Rattus norvegicus: one gene and its partners. The protein of the gene in region 1 purifies or fractionates together with the protein of each later gene. This does not show direct contact. Links are inferred from orthologs where the notes say so. Each region holds a gene or a part of one and is shown on either strand. Other genes may lie near its edges.

What was found.
Region 2: the proteins of Xiap (region 1) and Xaf1 purify together in Homo sapiens (affinity purification with western blotting; 5 studies listed by BioGRID). This does not show direct contact. The link is inferred for Rattus norvegicus from reciprocal best matches to the Homo sapiens genes XIAP and XAF1.
Region 3: the proteins of Xiap (region 1) and Siva1 purify together in Homo sapiens (affinity purification with western blotting; 3 studies listed by BioGRID). This does not show direct contact. The link is inferred for Rattus norvegicus from reciprocal best matches to the Homo sapiens genes XIAP and SIVA1.

Annotation. Positions count from the first base shown.
Region 1 is NC_086039.1:125,785,432-125,793,179, forward strand, and holds part of Xiap (E3 ubiquitin-protein ligase XIAP), read left to right. Parts: intron 1-616; coding exon of another isoform or gene 617-648; coding exon 649-1,522; intron 1,523-2,818; coding exon 2,819-2,918; intron 2,919-4,954; coding exon 4,955-5,033; intron 5,034-6,213; coding exon 6,214-6,256; intron 6,257-7,748.
Region 2 is NC_086028.1:57,412,141-57,420,668, reverse strand, and holds the start of Xaf1 (XIAP-associated factor 1), read right to left. Parts: upstream 4,735-8,528; 5' UTR 4,707-4,734; coding exon 4,675-4,706; intron 3,066-4,674; coding exon 2,930-3,065; intron 840-2,929; coding exon 644-839; intron 1-643. UniProt on the Homo sapiens protein: Seems to function as a negative regulator of members of the IAP (inhibitor of apoptosis protein) family. Inhibits anti-caspase activity of BIRC4. Induces cleavage and inactivation of BIRC4 independent of caspase activation.
Region 3 is NC_086024.1:137,523,561-137,532,070, reverse strand, and holds Siva1 (apoptosis regulatory protein Siva), read right to left. Parts: upstream 5,656-8,510; 5' UTR 5,528-5,655; coding exon 5,410-5,527; intron 3,630-5,409; coding exon 3,435-3,629; intron 2,645-3,434; coding exon 2,488-2,644; intron 1,460-2,487; coding exon 1,396-1,459; 3' UTR 1,281-1,395; downstream 1-1,280. UniProt on the Homo sapiens protein: Induces CD27-mediated apoptosis. Inhibits BCL2L1 isoform Bcl-x(L) anti-apoptotic activity. Inhibits activation of NF-kappa-B and promotes T-cell receptor-mediated apoptosis.

The DNA of each region.
Region 1 (7,748 bases):
TCTAAACATTCATCTGTTTTTAAATAGTAAAAGATTGAATTTTGATGCCTTGAATATGTAATGATTCATTATAACAATTATGCAGTCTTTAATAATCTGTATATTTTATGCTGCTTTCATGTTTTTCCTAATTAATGACTTCACATGTTTAATATTTATAATTTCTCTGTCATAGTTTCCATATTTATATAAAATGAATACTTAAGATCAGCAACTCTGCTCTTTTTGCTTATATACTATTTTCCATCAAAATAGAAAATGGGACTGAGGCTTAGGCTTGTTGGTGGAGCACTTGCCTGGAATGCAGAAGGCCCTGTGACGGAAACCTAAGGCTGCAATAAATAAGTGGGAGAGAAACAGGCTGGGGGTGTAGTTCTGACTTAGAACATGTGTTCGGCATTATGTGAAGCCCTAACACTGGAAAAGGAAAGCAAACAAAAGCACACACTTGAAAACTCAAGTGGTTTGGTAATGTACTACTCTAGTGTTTAGAATTAAAATGTGATTGTGCCATTATTTTTATGTCATCACTGGATAATTTATTAGTGCTTAGTATCAGAAATATATTCCTTATGTTTTGTGTTCTGCAGTTCCTAATGCAATGTTCTCTTTTTAGAAAAGGTGGACAAGTCGTATTTTCAAGAGAAGATGACTTTTAACAGTTTTGAAGGATCTAGAACTGTTGTACCTGCAGACACCAATAAGGATGAAGAATTTGTAGAAGAGTTTAATAGATTAAAAACATTTGCTAACTTCCCAAGCAGCAGTCCTGTTTCAGCATCAACATTGGCGCGAGCGGGGTTTCTCTACACTGGTGAAGGAGACACCGTGCAGTGTTTCAGTTGTCACGCGGCAGTAGATAGATGGCAGTATGGAGACTCAGCTGTTGGAAGACACAGGAGAATATCCCCAAATTGCAGATTTATCAATGGTTTTTATTTTGAAAACGGTGCCACACAGTCTACATCTCCTGGCATCCAAAATGGCCAGTACAAATCTGAAAACTGTGTGGGAAACAGAAATCATTTTGCTCTTGACAGGCCGTCGGAGACTCATGCAGATTATCTCCTGAGAACTGGACAGGTTGTAGATATTTCAGATACCATATACCCGAGGAACCCGGCCATGTGTAGTGAAGAAGCCAGACTGAAGACGTTTCAGAACTGGCCAGACTATGCCCATTTAAGCCCCAGAGAGTTAGCTAGTGCTGGACTCTACTACACGGGGATTGATGATCAAGTGCAATGCTTTTGTTGTGGTGGAAAACTGAAAAATTGGGAACCCTGTGACCGTGCCTGGTCAGAGCACAGGAGACACTTTCCCAACTGCTTCTTCGTTTTGGGCCGGAATGTTAATGTTCGAAGTGAGTCTGGTGTGAGTTCAGATAGGAATTTCCCAAATTCAACAAATTCTCCAAGAAATCCAGCCATGGCAGAATATGACGCACGGATCGTTACTTTTGGAACATGGCTATACTCAGTTAACAAGGAGCAGCTTGCAAGAGCTGGATTTTATGCTTTAGGTAAACTTCACCAGTAAATTACTTTCCAAATGTCACAGGGCTCCTAAAAAGAAAATCGTTGCCTTTAGTTTGCTCATTATCAGTATCATTCTCTGAACTCATATGTTAAATCTTTGATGGAACTACTGAATTTGTGTTAAAAGGCTCTGCTTTTATGAGTCAGATCTGTTCAAGTAATTCTTGGGTGGGGGAGGTTGCAGTTGAGAGAGAAAAGGTGGTATCAATTCCTGAAAGATAGTGGATCTAATAGTAATACTAGCTGCCATTTATTGAGCATCTACTCGATATGCTCAAAATACCTACTACATGGATTTTCTCTACACTTCACCACAATCCCATAAACACAGTTACTATTAGAGAATTTAGTCTGAGTCATAGTAAATTGACATCAAGCTGAGTAAGCATGAGACCACATACCAGTAATCCCAGCAATCTGTCAGCTGAGTAGAAAGGCCAGCATGAGTTTGAGGGCACTTTGGGCTACACTGTGATACCAAAGCCAACCAAACAAAAATTACCATCTACCTTTAAGCATACTCCACATATTCAGAGTACTTTTCAAACGATTCCTGTGCATGTCTCAAGAAAAGCTGGCAGTGTTATGGCTTCTAGAAATTTTAATCTATATGCCTGATTCATTTAGGATTAAATATAGCCAAATTCAAAATATACATTATTTCAGTTATATAATACAGTAATCTTTTTTAGATTTATTTATTTATTTTATGTATATGAGTATACTGTAGCTGTCTTTAGAGACACTAGAACAGGAATCATATTACAGATGGTTGTGAGCCACCACGTAGGTGCTGGGATTTGAACTCAGGACCTCTAGAAGAGCAGTCACTGCTCTTAACCACTGAGTCATCTCTCCAGCCCATAACATAGTGAGCTTAAAGGTCTGTTTCATGACAGAGAGCTTGTTCTTAAAGATAGTTACCTTGTAATTTATGCTGAACTTTAACATTTGCAATAAAACTTAAACAGTTTTCAGTTTGATAAAGTAAATTTAATAGTGATGGTCCAAGTGACATATACTGGAAAAATGTAGTTTCTAATATAAAAACTGTGATTTTTCTTTGTCTTCTACAAAGTACATTATATTGAGATGATGAATTTAGTACATATTTTCCTTCAAATGACAAAGAGCATATCTAGGTATGATACCATCTTGAATGTTGTCTTTTAAGCCATGAGGTTTGATATAATTAGACACTCCTCAAATGTTAGAATGGGCATTTTCTGAAAACTTACACTTGAACAGAAACACATAGTTTTCCTTGTGCGCTTTCTTAGGTGAAGGTGATAAAGTGAAGTGCTTTCACTGTGGAGGAGGGCTCACGGATTGGAAGCCAAGTGAAGACCCTTGGGAACAGCATGCTAAGTGGTATCCAGGGTAAGATCCTTAATTGTTCATTCACTAATAGGCAAGTTGGACATTGTGCAGTGGAAACATTTGAATTACTTTTCACCTCAACTATTTTTGCCTTCACTATGGCTTGAAATTCACACCAAGTTTACAGAAATGGGGTCACCTACTTTGTAGGGAAAAAACCCACCTAAGACTTCTGGTAACCATAACATTCACTGCTTATATGTCATATGATACTTAGATAATTCTTCTATTTCTAAAAATCAAATTATAAAAATATATACATTTTTATTTAGTATAGTATACAAAAATAAATACTTTTTACTTAGAAGTAGGCTCTTTGGAGATTGGCATGAGCCCATGGTGCCATGAGAAGACCTGAAGAATGATCATAATGTATATTATTGTTTGTTTGTTTAATCTGAGACAAGGTCTCACATTACCTCAGGTTGACCTGAAATTCCCTATGTCTTCCAGGCTGGCCTCCATCTTGAAACCCTCTTGTCTCAGTTTCTTTGTCATCTTCCCTCTGTAAAATACAGTACTCAGCTAGCTTTATAAGTTATGTGAGCTTCTAATATATAAAATAATACCACTCCAAACATTAGAACAATCATTTGAAAAGAACCCTTTAAAAGCCACATTCAAGTTAAATGAGTGTTCAGTACTGATTTAAAAAGATTAACCATTTTGAACTTGTAAAAAACTGTCAGTATTGGTGATGGTGGCACATGGCTTTAATCCCAGCACTCAGGAGGCAGAGGCAGGTGGATATCTTAAATTTGAGGTCAGCCTGGTCTGTGGAGTTCCAAGATAGCCAAGGCTATACAGAGAAAACCTATATCAAAAAAAACCAAACAAGTAAAGAAATAGTAGCAAGTCACTGTTAGGTACTAATTTACTGGTTGCTTTTTACCTGCTGTCAGGTTTAGGTTTGTTTGTTTGAGATATGGTTTTTACGTAGTCTTAATTGGCCTGCATATTCCTATGTAGATTACGCTGCCCTTAAACCTCGTGCCAGTCTTCCAACTTGCCTTTTGAGTATTACAGAGGTGTGGTACCATGCTTGTCTTTTTTGTTTCTATTTTGGGATAATATTTTTTGTACATCAGGCTGTCAAGAATTCACTATGGAGCCAAAGATGGCGCTAAACTTCTGTACTTGGTTAATTCAGGTGTTTGCCACCATGCCTAGCTAATAACTTTTTTGACTTTTTTTTTCATTTTCTTTTTTGGCACTGGCTATATAAATAGCCCAGAGTAGCCAGGTTTTCATATTGGTCTTCGTATCTCAGCCTCCCAAGTGCTGAGATTACAGTCGGATGTCACCATACTTGGTTCCTAATTTAGTAACTCTTACTTGAAAATTGAAAGTTCTCAAATTGATAGTATTAGCATGATTATAGCCTTGGAATCATAGCTGGATAGGGAATTGGATAGCAGTGCTTTGTGGCTCCTCAGAAACAGTGTATGAAGCTGACCATTTAACCTCAGCTACTTCGGAGTCTGGTGAGATGGGAGGATGGGAATATCCAGGCCTGTCTAGGCTACAGAGCATACTCAAGGCCAGCCTGGACCTCTTAGAACCCAGCTCAAATAAAAAGACTGGGGTGATTTATGGTTATTCCTGCTTGGGCAGGAGTATTAGAAGTCCAAGGTTACGTTTGACTACATAGCAAATTTGAGGCCAGCTTTCGAATGGCCTCTGATGGAAACTGATGTTATCATTCAGTGATGGAGTGCCCGCTAAGGTACTCATGAGCCTTAGTTTAATCCCCAGTAACACATACAAAAAAGACAATGAAAGGATAGGTTTTGTTTGTTTGTTTGTTGCCTGGGTTGGGGATGTACACAATTGGAGGTTAGAGTACAGCCTGGAGGAGTTTGTTCTCTCCTAACATGTGAGCTCCTGAGATTGAACTCAGGCATCAGACTTCTCGGAAAGTGCCATCTCTCTGGCCCCCAAAAGGTAGTTAATGGAATTTATATGATAGAGACTGTCTTTACTAGTACTTCTCTAATTTATCAGCTAGTAGAATTTAATTTTCTTTAATCTTTCAGGTGTAAATATCTATTGGATGAGAAGGGACAAGAATATATAAATAATATTCATTTAACCCATTCACTTGGGGAATCTGTGGTAAGTTGCTTATTTGCAATGTGTTTTCAAATTCTATATCTTTGTTTTTCTTTTGTTTTCATTAATTTATTTATTCACTTTACATGCCATTATCCACCCCTATTTCCCAGTTTCTCCTTCACACAACTTCTTCCTCCGTATACCCTCCTTTTTCCCTGAGAAGGGGGAGACCCTCCCTGGGTATCACCACACCTTGGCATATCAAGTCACTGCAGGACTAGGTACATTATGCCGAGCCAGCAGGGATGCTCAGTTAGGGGAACAGGATCCATAGGCAGGCAATAGGTTCAGGAACAGCCCCTGCTCCATTTGTTCAGGATCCACATGAAGACCAAGCTTCACATCTGCTACATATGGGCGGGGTCTAGGTCTAACCCATGTTTGCTCTTTGGAGGGTGATTCAATCTCTGGGAGCCCCCAAGGGTCTAGGTTAGTGGACTCTGTTGGTCTTTCCTGTGGTCGGTCTCTCTCTCTCTCTCTCTCTCTCTCTCTCTCTCTCTCTCTCTCTCTCTCTCTGTGTGTGTGTGTGTACATACGTGTACACACCATGTGTTGTACCTGAGGAAGCCATAAAAGGGCATGATTTGGTATTAAAATTACAGGCAGTTATAAGCTGCCCAGTATGAATTCTGGGAACTGAACTCTGGTCTTCTAGGAGAGCAACAGGTGTTCTTAACTGCTAAACCATCTCTTTAGTAACCCTTTAGCGGATAATACTTAAGATTACAAAAATAAGGACAGGGATATACATGGGTTTTACTTTTTCTGGCTAGCATAAACAAGCCCCTGGATTCAATCTCTGATAAGACAAAAAAATTTAATAATATGTCTGAATTGACATATAGGACAGTGGCAATCATAGCATTAGTAAACTGAGAAGAACCTTGGACTGTGATGGGAGTCTAGAACTGACATGATGGTTCTACCATTAGTTTCTAGTTGAGTTTGTATTTGTTTCCCTCCGGGGAGTCATTTGATCTCATTGGCCCTTGGCTTCTTGTTTGTAAAGGGGCGATGATTAGATAGTCTTGCCTTCCTTCCATTCTGTTGGCTGGGCTCTTATGGATAGGCATGTTTCGAATTAGAATAAAGCCAATTTGTTTTATGTTTATTAACTTTTCAAATTGAGATAATTGCTTTTTGCTAAAGTGAAATCTTACCATTCATGTTTCTATTTTAGGTAAGAACTGCTGAAAAAACACCATCAGTAACTAAAAAAATCGGTAAATATGTTTATTAAAAATCTGTTTAGTTTTGTGGCCAGTTTATTATAGTTTGTTTAATGAGGCTGCTATAAATTTAAGAATTTAATTAAGTGCTTATAATTTTATACCAGACATTTTTGTAGTGAGTACATTAATAGAAAGCCAGGTGCTAGAGCGCTTGCCTAGGAAGCGCAAGGCCCTGGGTTCGGTCCCCAGCTCCGAAAAAAAGAACCAAAAAAAGAAGAAAAAAAAAAAAAAAAAAAAAAAAAAAAGAAAGCCAGGTGCTATGGTGCAAATCTATAATCCGAGCACTGAGGATGTTGAAGCAGGAGAATCCGGAACCTGTGGTCAGTCTGGGTTGCATGGCATGGTTTTAAGAAAGGAAGGAACGGAGGGAGGAAAATGTATTAAAGCAACAAAGGTATTAAAAGTTTAGATTTTAATTTTTCATTCATTTATTTATTTTATATGTATGGGTGTTTAGCCTTCATATATGTGTGCCTAGTTGCCCCAGAAGCCAGGAGAGGTATCAGATCCCCTGGAACTGAAGTTAAAGGTGGTTGTGAGCCACCATGTGAGTGCTGGGAACTGAATTCAGGTCCTCTGGGAGAGCAAGTGTTCTTAGCCTCTGAGCCATCTCAGTAGTCTATCTACTGTGTAGGCCGGACTGGCCTGGACCTCTCTCTTTCTGCCTCAGTCTCTTAAGTGCTGGGATTGAGGGAGTGTACCCCCATATACAGCTAAAGCTGATAGTGTGCTGGCAGCCGAGCCCAGTGAATGCCAAGTACTCTGAGCTGCAGCCTCAGTAGTGTTCCTACAGTTCCCTTGAAGAAACAAAGAGGTGATGTGATCTGCCTACTGCCGTGTTATCATTTTGTTTTGTTTCGTTTTGTTTTGTTTTTAGAGATAGGGTTTCTCTGTGTACTCTGGCTATAATGAATTTGCTTTATACACCAGGCTAGCCTCAAACTCACAGAGATCTGCCTGCCTCTGTCTCCCAATTAAAGGTATATACTATTATAAATTAGTAATAGAACTAGCATTATAAACAAGGTCTTCTAAATCACATAGCATATTGTAGATGTAATTTTTAGTGGGGTTATGTATGGTGTTTTGGTGGTAGTGGTGTGGAACAAAGTGTTTCATTGTATCTCAACTGTCCTAGAACTCACTTTGAAGATCAGGCTGGTCTCAAATTCCCAAATACCTTCCTGCCTCTGCCTTCAGAGTGTTAAAATTAAAGGTGTACACCATAACACCTGACACTGGAGTTCTTTTGGAGTTTCGATTTATTTGTCTTTTGTGGGGTTTGTTGATTGTTTTTAAGATCTGCTTTTTCAATTGAAGTGGTATGTTTCAAAGAAAGCTTAATTTAGAGTATCTGATGAGTCCCTGTTCCCTAATGTTGTAACATCATCTGTTTTGTGTGTCAAGGATTAGAAAGCAGGAGAATACTACAGGTATTTATAAATATGCTCGAAATGCGGGGCTATGTTGAATTATTTGGAAT
Region 2 (8,528 bases), on another chromosome or scaffold:
CTCATTGGAAGAAGTCGGGTGCTAGGTGCAGGTTTCTTAGCCCAGCCCCACGCTTGTCCTCTCTGCTTCCTGGCTGTGGGTTCAGGGGGACAGTGAGGAGTGCCTCATGCTCCTGTGGTCATGTCTTCCCCAACACATCAAGGCTATTATGTCCTCAAACCATGAGCCACAGTAAACCCTTCCTTCCTCTAGCTATTTCTGCTTATCTGTTTTTATTATTAATCACAGAATGATAAAAACATTCAATAGCCTAGGATCTAGCTCAGTGCTGGAAGCTGGAGTGTCCAGTCTTGTTTGTTTCCTGATCTCTCTGTACATTTTCATCTACAGGGTGATTCAGGTGTGTCTTACCAGGCTAGTGTTGTGTCTTATGGAATGCAAAGAAAACCCTGCGTGTTTGGGATTCCCCGTGGCTTTCTCTCCCTCTTCAGTGTGTTCTACACCCCCACCCCGGCCTCTTCTTTTGCCTGATTAAGTCATGAAAGGCTACTACAGACACACAAGAAGGCTACTCCAGTTTGGTGGAAACACAGATTGGACACTCTTCTATCCTGTCAAGGGTTTTACTTCTTGCATCCTGCCCAGGAGACTGTCTGGCCCTGGGAGCTGCTCCCTCCCTCTCCAGCTTCTCCCTGTTGCTCACCTTCCTTAGGCTTGCCCTTTGCACTCAGACACAGGTCTTTGTGCTGTGCCAGTACCCGGAGTATAACGCGCTGGTTGCAGTGTGGACAATGCTCTGTCCGGCTGCCACAGTGGTACTCATGGACGTCCAGCTTGCTGAGTTGCACAGCCAGCTCACAGAACTTGCACTCGGCAGGGTCCTGTTGGCTTTCCTTGGTCTGTGGGAAGATGGAGAACATAGGCCCAACCTCCTAGGGAACTGAAGCCAATCAAAGTACTGGCAAGGGTCAGAGGCGGAGAGAGCCCTTGGGGTTATGAACTCCTTAGACTCACTGTTCCACTTTGCTTCTGTTGCTGTGATAAACATCATGACCAAAAGCAACTTGGGGAGAAAAGGATTTACTTCATTTTATACTTCAACACCACATCTATCATTGAGGGAAGCCAGGACAGGAACCCAAGGAAGGAACCCAGAAGCAGGAATTGAAGCAGAGACTATGGGAATGTTGCCTACTGGCTTGTTTGGCTTGCTTTCTTTACAACCCAGGACCACCTGGCTCAGTGGGCTGGGATTTCTTACATCAGCCATTAATCAGGAAATTGCCTGTAGACACACCCTCAGGGCAATCTGATGGAATTGTTCACCTGAGATTCCCTCTTCCCAGGTGACCACAGCCGGTGTCCAGTTAACAAAAACTAACTACTAACTCATGGATGGTGGAATTCTCCTGTCAAGCATGTATGTATATATGCATGCATGCAAGTGTGTATGTATGTATGCATGCAAGTGTGTACGTATGTATGCAAGTATGTGTGTATGTATGCATGCAAATAATGTATGTATGTATGTATGCATAATCTGCATCCTTGGAGTGGGATGATTCTCATCATTCTCCTGGCCACTCAGGTGGGGAGGAAGTGGTGGTGGTGGGAATATTTATGACTGCCTCTTCTTTTTCTCCCCTGTTATCCTGTTTGCCCATAGAGGAGAATTCACTCCTACTTCAACAAGGGAGGGCTTGCACATGCTGCTGACATAGTCCAGCCTACTCCATCCGTGCTGGCTAGTTTTATGTCAACTTGACTGAAGCCAGAGTTATCTGAAAGGAGGAAACCTCAACTGAGAAAACACCTCTAAGATCTGGCTGTAAGATAATTCCTGGGGTTGGGGATTTAGCTCAGTGGTAGAGCGCTTGCCTAGCAAGCGCAAGGCCCTGGGTTCGGTCCCCAGCTCAAAAAAAAAAAAAAAAAAAAAAAAAAAAAAGAGAGAGAGAGAGAAAGATAATTCCTTACATAGTGATTGATGGGGGAGGGCCCATCCCATCCCTGGGCTGGTTGTCCTGGGTTCTGTGAAGAAAAGCAGGCTGAGCAAGTCATGGGGGGAGCAAGCCAATAAGTAGCATCCCTCCATGGCCTCTGCATCGGCTTCTGCCTCTAGGTTCCTGCTCTCTTTGAGTTCCTGTTTTGACATCCTTTGAGGATGAACAGTGATATAGGAGTGTAAGCCAAATAAACCTTTTCCTCCCCAAGTTGCTTTCCCGGAGGTTACATCAAAGCAGTAACCTTAAGTAGGACACAAACACAAGTACAGAGGGACGTGGGTTCAAGCCCAGCCCCTGGCCCCTCCTTACATCAGCTGCCTTGCTGTGCTCCACACTTGGGTCCATGAGATCCTAGAGGGCAGAGACCCAGAGTGGCTGCTCGAGTTTTCCTCTAGCGCCTAGCCTAGGGCTCAAGAACTGTTTGCTGGATCAGCCTGAATCTAAATGGTTGCCCGAACTTGATTCTCAGAAAGATAAAGCCATGAGCGACTGACTCAAAAAGCTAGGCAAGAAGACTGAGCTGGGCCCTCCTGCTTCCTCCTTACAAGTCTCTGAAGAACAGTTAACCTTTGTTGAAATGGATTCCTTGTTCTGCTGGACCCATAGTCCCGCAGTAGCAAGTAGAAAGGGAGGAACTGAGGACATCCTTAGGGTGGCATATAACAAGAACAAAAACCCTTTTCGCTTCTAAAATGGAGGCCAAACAAACATGGAGGGGCTAGGAAGGCTGGACTCCAGTTGCTGACACACTCCCTTGGCCTTTGTGCCACCTGCCCACCTGCCCACCTGCCCACCTTCTCATCTGCCCACCTGCCCGCCTGCTCACCTGCCCACCTGCCCACCTGCTCACCTGCCCACCTGCCCACCTGCCTACCTGCCGACCTGCCCACCTGCCCACCTGCCCACCTGCTCACCTGCCCACCTGCTCACCTGCCCACCTGCTCATCTGCCCACCTGCCCACCTGCCTACCTGCCCACCTGCTCACCTGCTGGTGCACAGCTTCCACATGCTCCTTCATCTTTGACTCTGGGATGGGCTCCTCACATTCCGGGCAAAGGACCAGGAAACGCAGGCAGTGGGCCTCATGGAGAGTGAAGTGGCTAGAGGCCACACTTCTTTTGCTTCAGGATGAAGTGGGGGAAAGGGGAGAAAGAAAGGCGCAGCATCTTAGTCTAGAGCATGAGGCCTTGCTGCATACCTAGGGTAGGCTTTTTCCAGGTCTGGGGCGCAGGAAGAAGTGATGCTGATGATGCGCTCCTGCCTTGCCAGTGCTGGTGAATCAGGAACACTCACTATCCTAAGCGCAAGGACAGTCTGCAAAGCACCACCCTGCCCAGGAGAGCAGGAGGAGGACGTTACCAGGGCAACAGGCAACTTTTAAGAGTGATGATAGATTCCACTTCCTCGCTTGTAGGATGGTTTCCCAGATAAGTACTATGTGCCAAGGTGTGCACTTCAAACATGTACGAGTTAGCCAGGGCTGTAGGCACAGGTGCTGTTGAGACTGAGAGAGGAAGATGGCTGGTTTACGGCCTCCCTAATCTATAGAGTGAGTTCAAGAGCAGCCTGGACAACTTAGTGGTACCCCGGGTCAAAAGGAAGAGGAAAAATGGAGCTGGGAAAAAAGCAACTCGGAGTGCTTGGTGGTCCTGTGCGATGCCCTAGGCTCAGTGCCCAGGACCACTCCCTCCCCAGCATCCCCCCACAGAGAGGGGATGGGGAGGTAAAGTTTTATTCTTTTCTGGTTATCTCCCAGACAGGCCGTCATGAGAATAAATAAGTAGAGTCGGCCCTGCAGCCCTGCCCTGCCCACAGTTCAGGGACAAGGGTTTCCCAACTCTCAAGAGCAAAAGTCCATCTACCTAGCTGTCTCCTGTCCGTGGGCTCCCCTGCAGCCACCCAGAGCTGCTGAGACCCAGTGGCGTTTCCCACCTGCAGGGCAGGGTGTCCTCCTGTGACACTCGCATCACCAGGAATACTGCCCGCCCATTCCACTGGCCCATGCTGATGGCAGCTCAGGAGAAAGGAAACACAGGCTGTATCCCTAAAGGACCAGTTGTTCAGGGGAGGTGCCCCCAGGGCCACAGGATCTGGCTCATGGCCTCACTGCTGTTAGCCTGATCCAGCTGTCCCCATGGCTGCACAGAATGACATCCCTTACTCTGTTTGCCTTCTCTGTTCTGCCTGCCTGCCTCCATAATCCATAGTCCAGAGATTCTGAAAGGTGGAACAAAGGTCTCTGGGGGAGTTTTACCCCAGTTATGGCAACCGGTGGGGTCTGCTGAGAAACCAGCTCTCTTTACTTGGAGGTGTGGTCACTGCCTCCCGCTCAGTCCCTCGTGCTCTTCCTCCAGCTCCTTTGTCTGTCAGGGGACAGGAATAACCCTGGAATATCTCTCAAGGTTCCTCTCACAGATGGGTGGGAAGACCATGCTGCTGGGGCCCCACACTAGGGACCTAAGCTCTGACAGGAATAAACACTCTGCTAGGGACTAGTCCCTCCATACTTCATGGCTGACCAGCCAGCCTGAAACACCCGTGCTAAAGGGGGACAGTGATATCGAGGCCCCACTGAGCACTCTACCTAGAGATCTGGAGCCTCCTTACACCAGAGCGTCCAGTCCCCTTTGGCTCATCCTCTGGTATTGTACTTCATCTTCCTCACTTCAGAATTTGTTTGCTCTGCTCTGCCCCTCTCTCTGGCCAGCCCTGGAGAAGATGCCTTCTTACCAGTTCCTGCACACTTGGAAGTCGTCCTCCATGGTCTGCTCCTCAGAGTACTTCGGTGGAGTTTCTGTTTCTTTGCACACAAAACAAAACCGAAAGTGTTTCCCCAGCCCAGACTCACAGCAGGGAGGAGGAGACTTCTAGAATTCTCAGCCCAGGGCGGTTCCCAGATCTCTGTAGCTAGATACTCCCAGAAGGCCATTCTGCAGCATGGGCTAGTCTTCTGCTGTGCCACTAGTCCTGTGCTGCCTCTGTGCTACTGTGACTGCGACCTCCAGGGTGGGAGTTAGCTGTCAGGTTTCCTCTGGGTAGCACAACAGCCCCTCCCTCCCTCCGCCCTCCCTCCCTCCGCCCTCTAACTGGCTTTGCCTCCATCTGGGTCCCGCCCCCTTCTCAACCTGTGACCCTTCCACTCTGCTTCTGTCTGGTCTCTCCTTGGATGCTAAGCTTGAGTTTGTTTCCTGGAGAAGCAGCTCCTACATGCCCTGTACCCCGTGTGGTTCCAGTTTGTGGTGACTTTGAAAATAAAGTCTGTGAGGAACTGAGCAGGAGGTGCTGGGTGCTGGGTGCTCAGGCTACAGGATTTGGGGCAAGTCTTTGGGGAGTAGCCAGGGATAACTCTGTGTCTCCTGGACTTGTCCTCTGCTGGGAAACCAACCACCAACCAACCAATCAAACAAAAAATGATGGCAAACAATAATGTAAGCCCAGGGTGACAGGCACCATCAAGAGGTTTTGCTATCCCATCCACGGCTGGTAAAACAGAGTCACCAAGGGCCTGAATCACCTGCACAAATGCCCAGGCAACGTGGCCCAAGCTGTGACTCTTTTGCCCCAGCCACCATGCTGGAGGAGCTGCGCTCAAATCTAGACAAGATAACTGGGAGCTTGAGTCGTCTCAGCCTTCTGGAAGCTGTCTCCTGGCTGACTGGGTTACACTGGGGCTCCTAGGTGACTGCAAGGTCCAGGTGCTCCTGGAAACAGCATGCAAAATTGCTGCTGTGTCCCAGCAATGTGCTGCTGTCCCAAGGAGGCACCACAGCCCTAGGCAGTTGCCCAACAAGACTAGCTGACCTCGTGTCTTTGAGTCTTTGAGGTTCAAAGAAAACAAATTCTGTTAAAGGCAGCCCATGTCCAAAATCATCTCAATGCATCAGTGGACACAGAGCAATGCTGGTTTCCTCACAGTGCATCATGGGAGTCAGTGGACACAGAGCAATGCTGGTTTCCTCACAGTGCATCATGGGAGTCAATGGACACAGAACAATGCTGGTTTCCTGTGTTCATCATCTTTTTTCCTGACAGGAAGAAGCAGGGCATCATTAGATGAACGAAAATGACCAAGGGGTTTTGGAGTATAGATATTGGTCTGACACTTGCCTATCATGTATAAGGCTTTGGGGTTGGTACCTAACACACACACACACACACACACACACACACACACACACACACACACATCACAGAGTATATCTCAGTGACAACTGATACATTTACAGATATAACCATGCACTAAATAATGGCGTTTCTGTCAACAGTAGAACTGTTACAGCTACTGCATACACAGTAGCCACATAAGGTTACATGTGAAGAACGGCAGAAGTCCTGTCACCCAGTGGTGTCGCACACAGTTAAGTCACTTGCACTTGTGTGCCCTTGGCATGAATGCAGGTTGCAAGTAAGCAGAGGGGTGTGGGAACATGATCAAGTTGCATTACACACATATATTAAAATGCCGAATAAAAATTAAGAAACAAAAAATGTAGCATGCATTTCCTACAGGGCTGGTGTAGCGGATAAAGGCACTTAAACCTGCCAGCCTGAGTTCAATCCCCGAGGATGGTGGAAAGAGGGAACCAAATCCCTCGAGTTGTTCTTTGATCTTCACAAACACACACACACACACACACACACACACACACACACACACACACACACACGTTTTGAATATCGTGCACTATATTTGATAATCACACTAGACAGCTATGTTACTGGCTTGAGAACTTACACCACAGCTCTATGGTCATAGAACATACTCTCTTTATCTATAAGTAAACTGTTAGGGCTGGCCAAGATGTTGTTAGAACAGCACTTGCTTAGCCTATACAAGGCCCTAGGTTCAATCCTTAACATGGCTAAACGAAAAAAATAAAGAAAATCACAATACTTTCCTATTGACAATCCTGAAAGAAGAATTAGTTTGTTCTGAGCCAATTTGAATGACTGAGTCCCAGAAGTATAAACACCTTGTTCCCCAATAACATGGCCCTCCAAGGATACATGTTACCATTTGAATGTGAAGTCTCCTCTGTCTGGATATTGTCCCCTAGATGACCGTGCTGTTTTAGGAGCTTGTGAACCTTTCAGGGAGTAGGGCCTTGCTGGAGGAAACAGGTTAAGGAGGGACATGTCTTGGGGGTTCATAGGTTAGCCCTGCTTCAGGTCTGATTACTTTCTATTCTCTGGACCAGCTAACAAACAGCTGTTGCCTGCCCACGGCCACGCCTCCCCACCATGACAGATTAGTGTCCCTTTGCCTCCTTGTGGCAAAATAGTCTCAACTTTGAAAAGGATGACGTGGCTGACAGTTGGAGGATGCAGTTCATCATGGTCGGGAAGGCGTGGTGGTGGGAGCATGAGGCCTTGGTCACACTGAGTCTGAGTCAGGAGGAAGACAAGTGCTGGTGCTCACTCACTTTCTTATCAATTCACCTTACCACCTTACCGCGTGGGATGCTGCTGCCCCCATTCCTGGTTGCTCTTTCTGCCTCAGTCAAACCTCTCTGGAAACAAATCCCGAGGCCCGTCTTCTTAGTGACTCCAAATCCAGTCAGAACGACAAGATAACTACCCTCCCCTTCAAACTGGGAACCAAAGGAAACCTTCCTCACTTAAGTTACAGGCATGCTTTACAGGTATATGTTACACCAAGGAAAGGTGTCTGGTTCTATGTGGTCCTATTCAGAACAAATTGCGCAAACCTGTCGTAGTCCCAGAGAAAGCAGGCGTGGTCATCAAACAGGTGAGCTACATAAAAGTGGGCAACCTTATACAGACCCAGACGCTGCTTACATCAGGCAAGATGTCCCCAACAGGTCCGGGGTGCTATCTTAGCCCCAGCCTTAAGGTTTAATGGAGTCCAGAGGTCTGTCAACCTACCATATAGTATACATTATTTTGTTCAGTACTTATACAAATTGTAACAGGAGTTAATGATAAATGGCAGCCAAAGGGGCCTGAACAGAACAACCCAGCCTGGCCTAGGCTTCAGGACTCACTGTGGTCCTGTGCTGAAAGATGTTATAGACACTGTGACCCTCCTTCCAGCCACGAGACTGCCACCCCCCACCCCCACTTATGGAATGAGTGTGCTTAACAGGCAAACAGGAGTCTTGAACTTGAAGCTGACCACCAAAGAAAGATGGGAAAGGTCCAACGTAAATCTATTAAAGGAAGGGACCTAGGGACAAAGACTCTGGGTAGTGAGTTCCCATCCCAGGAAACATCCAGGCTACTTTCTTTTTTAAAAATAGAGGCATCTTTAAGATTCCATTTTTCTTGGCTCAAATTTAATAAAAACCTGTCTTTGGAATGGAGAATGGTGGGAATCCATGTTCCCTTCCTCCCAGGAAAAAAACAATTAGCCAGTATTGTACTTAAATTTGCATCTGTTTTAGCCTTTTCTCTCATGGCTTTCTGTAAATTATAAGATGACCTTAGACATGGAGAAGGGCTAGATTAATCAGTTCTCATTGGCCAAACTATAAATAAACCCAGATTTGTCTATTGATTTCTGTTAATTATTTTTTCAGTCAGAGTCTCTTGTAGATCATGCTAACATTAACATGTTCTCAGTT
Region 3 (8,510 bases), on another chromosome or scaffold:
TGGATTACTACAAGTCAATGACATGTAAGATGCCATTTGAAGCCAAGTCGAAGCTCTCAGGAACCTACATGGTAGCTGGGAGGAATCACAGACATCCATAATCTATATGGTGGAATTAGAAAAGCAACAGGGGGTGTTGGGGATCTGGCTCAGTGGTAGAGCGCTTGCCTAGCAAGCGCAAGGCCCTGGGTTCGATCCGCAGCTCCGAAAAAAATAGAAAAAAAAAAAAAAGAAAAGAAAAGCAACAGGGCTGTGCACTAAGGCACTAGGATGCTTCTGAGCCTAACCCAGAAAGACATAAAGGAACCATGCAAACACCCAGAGGAAGGGCCTCCAGCCAAGAGAGTGAGCCGATTTAAGTGAACCCCAGGAGGACAGGAAGCAAGAGAGTCTGGAGTTTTATTTGGACAGTATGAAGGTGGTGGGGGCTGTGCAATGATCCCAACTGGTGACAGAGGTGGGCTAGCTACAGCAGAAGCTTGTAGTATAAACAACAATGTAGTAGGCTAGAGGACAGAGTAGGGAGAGCCCAAAGGGCCTGGCAGACAGCTAAGCCAGGTAAAACAGCACCAGAAGCCAAGGAAGTATGGGTGTGGTGTACGATTAGGGTTTGCTTTGGTAAACCCACCTGCAGCCCCCCAAAGCCTCCTGCTCACAAAGGGCCTCTGAGACAACTGTCTGGTCCTATTGGGAAACCTGAACCAACCTCATCTAGGACAGCACCTCACTGATGTGTATGGGAAGCAACAGCCATAGCTGTTCTTAGAGGGCAGGACGAGGAGACCTCTGCACTGTTTATCCAGACACCTACCAGCAAACCACTCAGAAGACCCAGGTGGCTGCAGTGACTGGCCCACCACTATCTTCCAGGCCACCTTACCTCCTGGGAACTCCCTCCAAAGCCCAGCATAAACTACCTCTGAAGATATGGTGAGGATTGTCACACCCCTAGAATCAACACAACACTCCACCTGGCCAAACTTCCTGAAGGGCCAGGCCTCATCAAATCACCTGGAACTCAGCAGTGTAGGTACTGATGGCTGGCCAGGTGACAGTGGTAACTCGGTGCACGAGGTGGCCTAGCACACGGGTGACCATTCTGCAGCTTGATTTGGAGTTCAGCTGCTTCCTCTTACAGCTGAGGGAGGACGGGAAGGACCTCCCTGGGCCTGGCCTATCAGTCCGATTCGGGTAATAACCAGGGGCTCACGACGCTGCTGCGAGAGCTTGCCCTGCAGCCATCTCTGCCGCCCTAAGAACAGTTAACAGACAGAAGCGAGTCCTTGTGCAAATATAAAGAGGTTTATTCACTTGTTCCTGGGGTATAAAATATAACATATAAAAAGCCACCTTCTCTCTCTTTAGTATGAACATCTTGTGCTGTCCATGGCCACTTCAGGCTTCAAACATGGCGCAGCTGGTGCAAAGCGTCTTTTCACCATCGTCATCGTCGGCATAGCTACAACAGTTGACAGGAGAGGAGATTCCTAAGCAGCTGATTTCATCCCTATTCACTGAAGCCCTCATCCCATCACACCTCAGAATGTGAACTTGTTTGAAAACAGACTCAGGTGACTGTCATTTCAGGGACAGTTTGGGGACACCATTGTCTATGGCAGGTCTAGCATAGAAACATTCTGTGGGTCTGACATCTTGGCTCCAGTCCTTTGTGGTTTACCAGATAGGTGAGATATCATAAGAGACACACAGAAGTGACAAAAAGACATAGCGATAAGATGGCCACCGACACAAACCTGAGGACCTACAGCAAGCAGTCACCAGAAGCTGGGAGGCAGCCTGAGAAACTCTCCTTCCCAGCTTGAGCATGAACCAGCCCTACAGGTTCCTAAGACGTCTCCCCAGAGTACCCTGCATGCACTCCTGATCTCCCCAAACCCTCAAGAGTACCCCGGTGGCAAGGATTTGCCATATGAAGTGTGGTTTCCCATCTGACCCATGCTTTAGAAAATGTTGGGGCTGAGCTTGTCTGGATCCACTGTACTGATCCCATACTGATCTGGCAGACTGTGTCCTTCCAGTGTGGAACAAAGGGACAGGGCTCTACACTGTCCACCCACTCGCCAAGCACTTCTAAGTAGCTGACTCAGCTGGCTGCAGCGAGTGGGTGAGCAGCATCTATTCCATACTGCCTAAGAGATCACTGCTAACCAGAAAACAAGGGCAGGCATGACCTGAACATCCATGTACCCAGTGACATGTGTGAGGCAATCCTCACATAAGCACACTGGATAGAAACTGAAGCTAAACAACAGTGTGGACTGTTGGAACCCTAATACTATAAGGACTCAGAAGATCAGACAACAAGGCTGTTTAAGCCAGGCAGCTGCTTTAAGCAGGCCAAAGACACCTGGGAAACATGGACTTCTTTCAAAAGGATCACCGAGTCCTGAGACTACCCACCCAGCACCTATCCCCTCACAGAAGAGGAACCATGAGCTCTGCACCCCTAAAGATCAAAGGACTCACTCTGCCAGGCCACACAGCACACAGGCCAAGGCACCACAGCCCCAGCAGGTGTACACACACTGCCCACACAGGGCCCGCTCACACTGGCTGCAGACCGCCTTTCCATCCACAGATCTCACGCAGGATGAACAAGCAATGGGTGCTGCCCCGGGAAGGCCTGTGAGGAGAAAACACAGGCTGTCAGCACTGGAAGGATACTGAAAGAACAAGAGGGCACCCTCCTTCCCCTGAAACCGAGTCCTTCTGACAACCTATCACCCACCCGGAGCACTAGGGTAAAGGCTCACAATGACTTGTTCCCAGGACTGGTGACAAGACTCCAGGACAGATTGCCTGCCTGTTGCTAGTATCGCGGGGTGAGTACTCCATCGGAACTCGGTATCTGTCTGGGCCTCAAGATGGGCTTTACTGTTCCACTGGTCAGTTGGGCTGCTGTGGGGCCCAACAAGCTTCAGGGCTGCACAGAGTCCTGCTTCTCCCAAGTCACATGAGAACCATCCCCCAACAGAATGGACTAGCACATTCCTACTGCACACGGGACACCAGGAGAGCGTCTGACACAACAGTTAGAAGCCGGTGACTTCCACTCTAGATGACTGGGGATGGGGGTGGGGGTGGGGGGGCAGCAACCTTTCTCAACTTACCAGGCTCTAAGTCAGCGGTTCTCCACCTTCCCAAAGCTGCAACCCTTTAATATATACAGTTCCTCATGTTGTCGAACCCCAAGCCATATTTTCATTGCTACTTCATAACTATAACTTTGCTGTCATGAACAGGAACGTGAACATTTTTGGAGACAGGTTTGTCAAAGAGGCTGTGACCCACAGGCGGAGAACCTCTGCTCTAAGCAGATCCTGCTTGCCCAGGTAGTCAAAGCTCCTGACAGAACATCTGCTGCCATCTTCCCTAGGTGTAATAGCAAGCAATTTCCACTGGCAGCCACTTACCAGCTTCCGAGGCCTGAGCTTGGCACCGTGTCAGTCGGCCATCAGGTCCAATCAACATCTGTCCCCTTGCAGCTTGAGGGGCTCCCACCAGACCAGGCTTGAGTGGCTCCGGCAGGTGGTTGATGGAACAACCTTCACCCCAGATGTGATCTCTATAGGCCTGGGCCCCTTGGAAAAGGAGCTGCTTGGTTCTTTCTGGGAAAAAGATCCTTCCTTAAGATAACTCTCCCAACTGCAAAGCCCTCGCACAGCCATCCTACGACCCTACAAGGCACCAAAGGAGTCCCCTTTGCCTGTTCCCTAACTGAGGCCTTGCCAGGGCCTCCCTGCCTCCAAGCTGAAGATGTCCCCTTTCCTTGGTCCTTGGGCTCCATTGTCACCTCCCACAGCAGGTGGCAGATTCTACCAAGCCCACCAGCAACTCTGGTACTCCTTCCATTAACCTACTGTCAGCAGCCACGGCTAATTCACTTCACTGGGTTTGTGCTCTCCTCCTGTAAGCTTGTCTTGGTGCCAGAGAGCACTCATTCTCAAAAGCAAGTGCCCCAAGGAGGCAGAAAACAGACACTGGCTTACAACAGCACCCACCACCACTGCCAAGCCAGTGAACAGCTTTACTAAAGGAGAGAAAGACAACCGACCCCTGACAAAGGCCTCCCAACCTACCACCCCAGGTAAGCGGCTGCTCACACCTGTAACAACCGCTCCTCCTTAGGCTTCAGGCCCAGGGAGCCCTAAGGGGAAACACTGTTGCAAGTTCCAGAAATGCTCACTCCCACCTACAGCCAGGCGAGACCTAGCAGACCCAGGGACCTCTCTGTGACACTGGAAGCAAGCAAACATTCAGAGTGGCTTTCCAGCTCACTTGCCTCCTACTTTAAGATAGGATTATTTAAGTTCAAGGCCAGGCTAAGACTCGCTGTGAAAGTCTGTCTGAAAAACAAGGGGAATGGGAAGAGTTCTACGGTGAGAGCAATCTTTCTCCTCAAGGACTCCTGGTCCACCAGAGTCCAGAGTGTGGGCCCAGGCTTGGTAAACCGTGTGTACTATATAACACCCTATAGCCCAGCACCCCTTCCTGACCTGCCTGGCTCTGACGGCCCTGACAATGCTCCAGGACATAAGTCCACAAAACGGTAGAGCTGGGCTGTTAGGTTCCAATGAATACTTAGGTCGTCTTTTCAACTGCATGCTTACATTCTTTTAAAAATTAAATCCACTTGGCTATTTAGTTATTATGAGTGTGGTCAGAAGACAACTTTCAGGAATCGATTCTCTCCTACTACATGTTCTTGGGACCTGACTCAGGTTCAGGCTTTCATAGAATGCACTTTAACCGGCTGAGGCATTTTCTGGGTCGTGTTTGCATCGTGTGGTTGCTGTTTTAAGACATCTCACTCTACAGCCCACACTGGTCTCAAACTCAAGAAATCCTCCGGCCTTTGCCTTCTGAGTGCTGGCATTAAAAAAAAAAAAAAAAAGCCAGGACGCCGGGTCATGTCTACATTTTGGGGGACACACTCTTTGCAACTCAGTCCTTACACTTTGCATCCTTACACTTTACATCCCTGAGTCTCAGCATTTGAGTTTGCATTCCCAGCGTACAGTAAGGGAAAAGGCAAATACTGGGGCTGAGTAGGGAGTTTGTTTTTTCCGCACATTCCAAAGGCACAGAGGCACCACTCAAAACTGTACAGCTGTAAACTCTGCGCACCGCGAAGCGATGCTCAACAACATCCATCCGCTGGGAAGTCAACTTAAGAGGGCCCAGGGCAGCGTACGCCTTCACGCCCACTCCCGCCCAGTCCCTCTGCTTGTCCCGCGCCAGGCTACTCCGCTCGGCAGGACTCGGCTTCGACTCGGCTTTCTCCGGGAGCGGCCTGAAGCAGCCTTCACCCTGGGCTCGCGACGCGCTTGGCGTCTCCCGCTGCCCCGTGCGGCGTAACCCGCTGTACCCACGGAAGTCCACACTCACCGAAGACCTCGCGCGAGTAGCGCTCGGCGAACACACCGTGGCTCAGCTCTCTCGGGCTCACGTGGACTTTGAGTTGAAGCGGGGCAGCATCCGTGAACGGGCAGCTCCGCTTGGGCATGATAGCGGGTACCAGACACAGCCCACAGCAGCGCACAGCGCGCCGAACACGTCACAACTCACTCGGACCGCTGCTGAGGCTCGAGCGGACGAGGGCGCGGCTCCCGATAGGCCGGAGAAAGACTGGGGGCTCGCCTCAAGCGGGTCGCTGCATGGGATAGGCCGTCGAGACGGTGGGGGAGGGACTTATGCAGTTAGCCGCGAGGGATAGGCTGAGGGAGGCAGTGAGTGGAATGCAGGGGCGCGGGAAAAGGCCAAGGGCGCTGGCGCAGCGGGGTGGGGTCTACGCAAGGCGTGGCATGGGATAGGCCGAGAGGGGTGTTAGGGCGGGGCTAGTGCATGCCGCAGCTCAGGATAGGCCAAAAACTAAGAGGCGGGGCTCTGGGGTGGGGCGCGGGGTTAGCGGGAAGCTACATTGGGGGCGGGACTCGTGTGCTAAAGGGGTCTGAATAAACCCGCGCGAGATCGAGGGCGGGTTTCAGCGCGCGAAAAGCCAGACGTCTCTGTTGTTGCTAAGCAACGGTGATAGGAGATGTTACGGAGTTACCAGTACCAAACAGTAGGGTGGCGCGCTTTATCCGGGCTCCTCCTCCTAGTGGATCCAGCTACCCATCTTCCCCCGCGAATTACTCTTGTGTCCCTGAGGCTTGATCTTGGGCAGTGAGCCTGAGGGTTTATGGCGACACCTGTGGATCCGCTGGATTTAAAAACTATGTGTGGATCTTCTAACATGTTGAACAGGCAAACAGTGATGCCCAGGGCTTTCTCAGTCCTTATATTCTACACAATCGGAATGTCAGAGTTATTCAGATGCATTGAATTTTGTGCTCATCTTGGAGTACAGGAAACCCGGAGTGTGCACAAAGCAGCCGTTAATTCTCCAGAGAGTTTTGGAGACTGGAAGTCTCAGATCAAAGTTTTGGGTTTTCTACCAGCCTCTGTCTTCCTGAATCTGTAGGTGGAAACTTCTGTGTGCTTACTGGATTGGTGTCTGTGTTCTCATCTCATAATAACACCCGGTACTTTGAATTAAGGTCTGCGCTAAGGACCCTATTTGAACTCTTTAAGACTATATCCACGAGCCCTGTGTGTTGGCTCATGCCTTTAATCCCAGCACTCAGAAAGCAGAAGCAGCCTAAGCTAGCTAGAGAGACCCAGTCTCAAAACACCAAACAAAAAACTGTATCCAGATACAATTACATTCTGAGGTGTTGGGAGTTAGGTCTTCAACGTGAAGAGGTGGGCACAATTCTACACAGAACAAGTGTCAAGTAGTATACTGGGCAAGCCCTGTGACAAACACCTGGTAGAGGTGACTACTGACTACTCTGCTTCTTCCTCCTAGTGGTTTCCCCTGTTATAGAACTGTACGGAATGGACGATACCTCTGTATGGAGACATATGTTTGTCCCCTACTGCATGGCTTAAATTCAGCAACCCTGGCTAGGGAACCCACGGTTAGGAAGGCTGTTGTTGGGCTGGAGAGATGGCTCAGTGATTAAGAGCACTGACTGCTCTTCCAGAGGTCCTGAGTTCAATTCCCAGCAACCACATGGTGGCTCACAACCATCTGTAATGAGATCTGGTGCCCTCTTCTGGCCTGCAATCACATATGCAGGCAGAATGCTGTGCATAAAATAAATAATTCTTAAAAAAAAAAAAAAAAAAAAAGGAAGGCTGTTGTTCTTGTTAAGAAATGGACTTTTTCTTCCCAGAATCCCAACTTCCTAGTGCAGTCTGTACAAGTGCCACGGAGTTCCACCTGGGTCTGACTCCCTTTCTGTATGAGTATGAAGTATTGAAGGCTTGGTTTCCAGATGTCATTTCAGATGGTTGTGAGCCACCATGTGATTGCTGGGAATTGAACTTAGGACCTCTTGGAGAACAGTCAGTGCTCTTAACCTCTGAGCCATCTCTCCAGCCCTCCAGATGTCATGATTGAGGGGTAATAGAATATGATGGTGGTGGTAGTTTGTGTATGCTCAGGCCAGGGAGTGGCACTATGGAGAGGTGTGGCCCTGTTGGAGTAGTCGTGTCACTGAGGGCATGGACTTTTCACCCTAGTCCTAGCTGCCTGGAAGGCAGTCTTCTGTCTGCCTTCTGATGAAGATGTAGAACTCTGAGGTCCTCCTGTACCATGCCTGCCTGGATGCTGCCATGTTTCGGCCTTGATGATAATGGACTGAACATCTGAACCTGTAAGTCAGCCCCAATTCAATGTTGTCCTTATAGGAGTTGCCTTGGTCATGGTGTCTGTTCACTGCAGTAAAACCCTAAGACAATGGCATAACTCCAGTGGGTTAATTCATCAGTGAGTTCATGGCTTTTACCTGAGGCCTGGTTGGAGGAAATGTTGCACTGAGAGTGTGTCTTGAAGTGTACCTTATCCCCGTCTCTGTCCTGCCTCCCTTCCTTCCTGAAGGAATGCCTTCCACCATGAAGCTTCTGTCTCACCATAGATCTATAATAATGCAGCCAGCCTGGCCATGGACTAACATCTGTGAAACTGTGATTCAAAATAAATCTTTTCAGTTCTTTTAGTTGTTTCATCATGGAGATAAAAACTCAGTGAGATATGTCTCCACAGTGGGGACAGCCTGATGTACCCCAAATGTTGGGGATGGCCTAATGTACTCCAGATGCAGGGAATAGACTAGTATCCCTCAAATGCTGGGGAGAGCCTGAGGTACCCCAAATGGTGGGAATAGCCTAATGTACCCCAGATGCTGACACATCATTCAAGGCCCCTAGATGTCATGGTGAGCACAGAGCAGAGGTGGTACTAGTTAAGATGTGTCCCATTCAGTCCGGAGAAGTTCCCAGGGGCAGTGACCGAGTGTGTCTATCTAGAATGCTGGGGTGCCGTATGGGCTGCTCTGTCTCTGGAGTCAGGAAAGAGGAAGTACTGTGATTCCTAGGTGCCCTGGCAGCTCTGGAATGCACGTACTCAGATGGTTACGTCTGGGTACTGGGTAATATACCAA